Linked DNA regions of Drosophila melanogaster. The protein of the gene in region 2 interacts with the protein of the main gene of each other region in a pairwise test. Each region holds a gene or a part of one and is shown on either strand. Other genes may lie near its edges.

The links.
Region 1: the proteins of nur (region 2) and CG7755 interact in a two-hybrid assay, tested with the Drosophila melanogaster proteins (one large-scale study listed by BioGRID).

The regions. Positions count from the first base shown.
Region 1 is NT_033778.4:16,280,805-16,284,819, forward strand, and holds CG7755 (uncharacterized protein), read right to left. Parts: upstream 2,143-4,015; 5' UTR 2,058-2,142; coding exon 921-2,057; 3' UTR 826-920; downstream 1-825. Other genes in the region: CG15705 (uncharacterized protein), read left to right, coding at 218-499, 715-747; CG9068 (uncharacterized protein), read left to right, coding at 2,631-2,694, 2,747-3,445, 3,510-3,849, 3,909-4,015.
Region 2 is NT_033779.5:13,734,180-13,737,613, reverse strand, and holds nur (nemuri), read right to left. Parts: upstream 1,477-3,434; 5' UTR 1,422-1,476; coding exon 903-1,421; 3' UTR 584-902; downstream 1-583.

The DNA.
Region 1 (4,015 bases), on a different chromosome or scaffold from region 2:
ATAGGATAGTCCTGCTTCGGTATTTATGTAGTTGTTTACAGCCTCCGGCTTGGAACATAAATCCATTCAAATTGTACGTGCAAATGGGAGGACATCATGTTATATTACACACACCCGCAGCAGGCACTTCGAATTTGAGTTTTGAGCAAGTACAATTCATGTTTTGATACATTTTTGATAGCTGAGCAACAAAATCATACCAAATTCCCCTCTGAACATGGACAGCCCAGTAAAACAGCGCCTAAAACCCAAGAAGCTGGACAAACATCCAGGAACTCAGAAGGTCGAGTTCAAAAAGGATATCATCGATGAGGTAGCGGATCAGTCGGTTGAATACGATTACATGAAGTATCCCAGCAATAAAGAGAAGGCAAAACTCCTGAAAGGCGTTAAACCATCGAAAAGTGTCACATTCAAGACGGTGGTGGAGCTGGTGACCTATTCGGAAAACTGGAAGATGAAGATGAGCGAGAGCAGGCTGCGCTCGGAGGATGAGCAGGTGTGGTTACGGATGCTAAAGTCCACTTTCCGATACTCGGGCACCACGTATTTCTGATGCATTTGGACAAGCCTATTAAAAATTTTAGTTTTACTAGAACAATTTAAATAAAATACTACTACTACTTTTTGATACGTTTTCCAATGCATCAGACTTATTCTTATTTTCAGTTTCTTATATTACAATCTAATCATTCTTTTAATCTTAAACTTTAGCTGAAGAGCTCCCAAAAATATCGCAACTACTGACAACTTTCCTTAAAATTATTGTTCGTTGTAAGCTAATAAATTGTTATGTGTTGATAAAAAAATATTTCGAGAAAAACTAAAAATAGTTGGTTTTTATTTTGGAAAAATAATGGTCACAGACAATTTAATGAGAGTTTTTTTTCCCCAATATCATATATTTTATGGCAGGATCTTTATTTACCCAATGCTCGGCATCGCAGCTGGTTGATGATGTTGCAAATGACATACTCGCCGGTATCCTGGCCACCGAACTCCTTGGTGCGAATGCCTTCGTCCATGGTGCGCTTCAGCTCGCACCACAGTGCATCGGCGCACTTATCGTGGCCCAGATGCTGGAAGAGATCCACAATGGTGGACACGATGCCGTATGCACTTAGATTGGCATAATTGGTCAGCGATAGTTTCGTCTGGAGCGGTTTGAAAACGGCATGGTGATCTCCGATCTCCACCGCACTGAAGAGATTAGCCCCGCCACAGACTCCACTGCAGATGGCGGATAGGAATGTGGCATAGCGTTCGCTGGCGAAGAGGCAATCGAAGTAGGTGGGCTCCGTCATCAGCCGGCTGATGGCCTCCTCCACCTCCATGAGCTCCAGCTCCAGGCAATCCTTGTAGTGGCAGTGCAAGCGCTGTGCGGCTTCCACCAGTGAGCCATCGCTAATGGGCCACTCCTTGGCCTTGTTGATCAGCGTCACCCGTTTCCGGCCCGCCTTTGCAGCCGCCTTAAAGGCGTACCGCAGATACTTGTCATTGCCTTTTTGGGAGACGACGGACAGGGCCTCCACCACTCCCTCCACGGGTGAATATTCCAGTTCGTTGAAGATACCCATGTTGTTCTGACCGATTAACTGGATGTCCACGCCCGGAAAGCGGCACTTGAAGCCGGGAAAGCTGCGTGTCCGGGTCTTGAAGACGTACAAGTCCAGATCATTGCAGATCTTGAGCGCCTTCTGCTTGGCTTCCGCGTCCGCCTGATTGTCCACATGAACGGCGGTTCTGTTCCGGAGCACCGAGTGGAAGTACTCGTCATCTTGGCCAGCTTCGATGACTTGGACCTCCACAGGGACGCGGCTGCTCGAAAGCAGGGATGACACGAATTGGGCTCCCTGCTGGCCAATGATGGTGGTGCCCGTGACCAGAGAGACCGTATTGATTCCACCGTACTTGGACTTGGGCAGCACATTGACCGGATCAGCTCGAGCGTCTCCTTTTGCGTAGGCCGCTCGCACACTGCCGTGGATCTCGTCTGCGAAGTGGCGGACGCTGATCCTGGCCAGCATCGACTGAGTCACTTTCGGGCATCTTAGCATTATTTTAAAGATGAATCCTAGGAATGTATCTGCTAAGTAAGCAAGTGACACAAATTGCCCCCACAACTGTATACACAAATATTTTGAGATCCTATTCCTAAGTCCGAGTTCCTAAATTAGTGTAAAAGAATGAAATTTTTATTGCTATTTTTCAGCTGAGTAACGGGTATCTGATAGTCGATGCACTTAACTATAGAATTCTCTCTTGTTTTTAAATAAAGCGCCGTTTTCGGGCAGATTGGTGTGACCAAGGCTTGCTACCCTAAAAATCGCTTAAGATTCCATTTCATACTTTTAGTTCGACATTAGATAATAGTGGCTATGTAAAATGATGTAGAAGAGTTTTTACATTTCTACATTTTTAGAATAAACATTTTTAAGACAAAAAAGAATCATTGTAAATGTATTTTTAAACTGCAATAGTCATTATGTTTTTGAAAAGCCCACCGGAAATGCACTTAGAAAATGAAGCACTTGTTTAGCGCGAACTAAAAGTAACGGAAAGGCCGGCTTCCGGTTGCCATGGATTTTTGTTAAGTTTTCTGTAATTTTGGTGAGTAAAAACTCGGTGAAATGGCCTCCTCCAGCGCTGTAGAAGATGAGCATCTAACGGATTCCGATTTAACCGACGATGAGGGTGAGTTTGTGTCACTATTTCCCCTAGAACTTCTTTTAATCCTGGAACCCAGAGCGCAGCGTGGAACCTCGTCAGGAGGAGATCCGTCCGGAGACCCCAAAGCCATCGTATAGCGACGAGGAACTGAACCAACTGGTGGGCTACATTCAGCGGATGAGTGTGTTGAGCTGCTTGGATCACAGGGACTGGCAGGAGGGAACTCTGGACATCATCCGCGGCTGGCTACTGGAGGTTCACGAGCCCCTGCTAACCATTTACTACGACAGGGATGCCCTAGCCGCCTGCTTGGGCATGCCCTCCATGTGTGTCTCGGATCTGAGTTACTTTCGCCGCGAACCGAATGAGATTTTTAGCGTGGAGGGATTTCACGATGAGATTAACTTCGGCACCTTGACAAGCGATGTGGATGGCTGCTTGATGGAGCTACTCGATCGCTTGTACGTCCCCTTCTTCCGGAACTATCTCGAATGGAATGCCACGGTGCGTAACCGTTTCTGTTCCAGCATGGACAGATTCCTGGCATTTCTCAGCGGAATGCACCATCAAATCTCTGGGATGTCCGTGATGTACGTCCCCTTTGTCATCAAGGAGTTGACGGCTGGGCCCGTTGATAGATACTTGGTCGGCAGCCTGGAGGGCATCGCTCTCTACTGGACCACACAGATTCGAACTTTGCTGGCAGACGATACTTTGACGGTTCCACATGATCTGGTCACCGTTCGGGATGAGTTTGAGTTCTGGGAATATCGCTGTAAGTTTGTAACTGTTGCGCCTGTAAAGTATATATAAATTGAAGATGGTGTTCTCCTATTTAGATGAAGTCCTTCAAGGAATCAATGATCAATTGGCTCATTCGGATGTTCAGAAGGTTTTGTTACTCTTGCACAATGCCCAATCCGTGCACATGCCACAAATGGATGGACTTATTGAGAGGGCCAGAAAGGAGCTTCATAAATCTCTGTCGAATATTAAGTACCTTCATCTGCTCATTGAGCCCTGCTCCAAAATCGATGCGGCCACAAGCCCGGCGGATTTGACGAAACTTTTACCTCGCATTATCCACCTCATACGTTTCATTTGGCTGAATTCGGAATACTACAATACAACTAGGCTAATTGCTGCATTGTTTCGGAATTTGAGTAATCAGATCATAAGGTGAGTATTACATGAATCACACAAGTGGATAATATATACAACATTATTGCTCCTTACAGATTCTGCACAAAGCAAACCAAAGTGGAGGAGATCCTCTCGGGCAAACCGCGTTTCGGCATTAGGATATGCAACGTGGCTATTGAGTGCTGCCTGACTTATAGGGGAA
Region 2 (3,434 bases):
ACAAACTTGACGGCGGCCGCAAAACTTTCGCCACGACTGCAGCACAAAGCCAAGGAAGTTTGGCAGAGTGTATGAGGGGCACGGCCAGGACCAAGACCAAGACCAAGAGGATGTGGCAACAGCCCAGCAACATTGGCACATTCATCATTTTTCGGGTGCTCGCACGAGCAGGAAGGACCAAGGATTTCAGCCGCCAGGCGACAGCAGCTGTTGCAGCAACATCGCGGCAACTTCTTGTCACATGTCACGTCGCTGCAGGGATGGCACACGACCAAAGGACCAAAGGACGATGGTACGAAAGGACGACGGGACGTCGCAAAGAATGCGAATCAGGCCGACACTGCCCTGCGCTTTGCAAATGTTTAACCAGAAGCTGTTGAAAGTTTGCCGGCACTTCTACAGGCTCTTTAACAATGATTTTTCTGTAATGGAGTACATATTAAGTACTACTTTAAAGCTTAAAAACCTGCATATTAAACTTAATCATGTCTATTATTACACATTTGTTAACGAAAAGGGCATTAGACTTGTTTAAAATTAGACTGTGCTTCTTTAAAACAGGCCGATTTAAAACTAACTATCTACGGCAGCTGTAGTCAGTTGATTGATATTAAAGAAAGTACATATATCATTATAAGAAGAAGTTCCTTAAAAACTAATTCATGCAAAACGTTATGACAGAAAGTTATGGGTCAAAAGTATTTTCATTTAGATGAATGTCAATAGAGAAAATAAGGGATGGGTCTAAATTTTAGGTTTAGAAAATACTTATACTTAAATATAACAATTTATAAATAAGGAAAAAATCAATTTAGAGTGATTTCGTTAGAATCATAATTTATTTGTGTGTGTATCGAATCGGTGGATCGGGCAGTTAGTCTTATATCTGTGAGGGGAACTTCTTAGGCCTTGTTGCCCTTGCCGGAACGCCTCTTCACGGAGGTGCGACGGCGAGCACCGCCACGACCACGTCGTCCACCGCGCCTGCGTCCACCTCGTCGTCCGCCACGGCGCACGGATTTGCGTGCACTACGACGACCTCCACGGCGACCACCGCGGCGTCCACCACGACGACGACCGGCACGAACGATGCGGCGGGCACGGGCGTCATCCTTGTTGGGCTTCACGATGGTGTCCTTGTTGTTGGTGGCGGTCTCCTTGTCCTCTTTGTTGTCGCTGCCCTCGGCAACATCATCGCTGCGTCCCTCCAGTCTGTCATTCTGCTCCTCCTGCTCCTGGCGCTCCAGGTCTTGCTCCTGGGCGGCCAGCTCGGAGTCTTCCTTGTTGTCCGACGTCTTCTCGACCAGCTCGGAGCCACGGCGAGAGCTGAGAACTCGGCTGCGCTGGGCCGCCGCCTCGGTGGAGAACACCAGACAGCAGAGAGCCGCCAGGGCAAAGATCAGTGTATATTTGGCTGACATATCGTTGGTTGCAGTCGAACTGTTGCTTGTGGAAGGCCGGAAGTGGTTGTGATGCTTTCGAGGTGTCACCTCCGGTTTTTTATACCTATGCCCATCCGATCCGCTGGAGCTCCAAAGCCATGGCACCTGTTTCAATGTTTGCCCACTGCAAGATGTTGCAACACACACAGCTGTATTTGCCCCCCACCAATCAACCCGGTTTCGATATCGATGCTGTGCGGCTATTAATTTGATCTTTTGTTTACCCTTTCGCCTTTCAACTGCAGCACATTTTCCGGTTCCCCTGCTTGCGCTTCATTTCCTTACAAATTGCTTGCCCTCCGGCTGGCTAACAGCTACTCCGCTCCGTTGGCAAATAATTGGTTTCTTGCTCCTCGTGCCACCGAACCCACTGGCCAGACTGGAAATATCATTTAAAAAAAGAATAAACGTAAATAATCGAATTGCACAAAAGCGTTTTAGCTGCGCTTTCGTTTGATTTAGTCGAGCAATGCTCGTGGCCCCTTTGGCTGGCTGGATAATTCAGCGGAGTTCCGTCCGTGCAGCTTCCTGAAACTGCACTGCAAAAAAAAAGAATGCCATGCCCCTTTATTTAAACTGAATATTAATTTTTGAAAAATGTATTAAAGAAAACGAAGATTTTTTTACATATAATATGTACTACGTATAAAGATAAATGAAGAACATTTTTTTTTTGAATACCTATATATTTATTTTGCAAAATACATTACATTTGTCACAGTGATCTCAGTATGGAGTACAATCTGCGACTATTAAAAAGTGCAGAGCAAACAGCTTGAAGCGGTTTAGTTGCGCGTTTAAATGAATTACAAATTTGCTCTGAGTTCGGAGCTGCTGGTGTGGGTGAAAAAGGATCGCAGGATGCCGGAAGCCAGCGATTCCCGTCCAGCTTTACGTATATATTTATCTTTAGATATACATCTTTTTGGGCAACTTGCCAGCAATCAAACATATTTATTGCGCTTAAACGCTTTGCCAATAATTTCTGCTTCGGCAGCTGTTGGCGGAACCGGAAGATGGGGCGCCTTGGAGCTGAAGCACGTGCCGCCGGAAATCACGTGGTCGACATTTGTTCAAATGATTTACAATTGTTGATTTTTATTTGGCCTAAGAAGCAGTTGTTAAAAAAACGCTCCAGAAACTTTAATCTGATTAAAGGCTGAACGACAGGCATGAGCATGAGCAATGCATCTACGGGGAGATCCTTGTGTCCGATTCGCAGGACACCTATTCAGGCGTGCTTGAAATCTAATTAAAAAGCGCTTAGTGGGTGAACAAAGGATTTTCAATTTCAGCCAACAAAAGAGGGCTCACATGTCCCTACGACTGGCATTGGATATCCCGAATCCTGCTCTTCCTCCTCCGATTAACTGCATTGTCTTCGTCCAGGGAGAAGCCATCTCTGGAAATTTCATGGTCATGGATGCAGTGAAGGGAATAGTCTAAGTGGACAAGGGCTTCAGTCGTAAAGCGTTCAGCTCTTATCATATATTTGTTTCATACATTTTTTTTAAAGCTCAACCATATTCTGAAAGTAAAAGCGGAAGCCGTTCATCATTTGCAAATAAGTGGAGAATGCTTAAACAGATATAAAGATAGATCCATTAAGTATGAAAGAAATAAAATAACCCAAATATATGTAATACTTCTTCCTTTGGAATTTATCCAAATCATAGGTATATGTTAGATCTACATAGGTTTTCGGTACATGGTTGCCTTTTTTTTTACCACACTAACAATTAAAATTTATCAAAGAAGAACATCAGAACATGGCTTTTTTCGATCGCAGATCCCCGTATGGCAGTCTCGAGTCTCCTCTAAGACGTGGATTCACTAGCTGGGGGCCACATCCTGACAGCGGAGCTGAGACAAAACTCTTTTGGCCTTTCCGGATTTGCCTAAGTTATTTGACTTTCTCCGGGTAACTCACAATGGCCCCGAGCAGCAAAAGGCCAAAAATATGGGGGAGTTGCTTGGCCTTTTTCTGGTGCC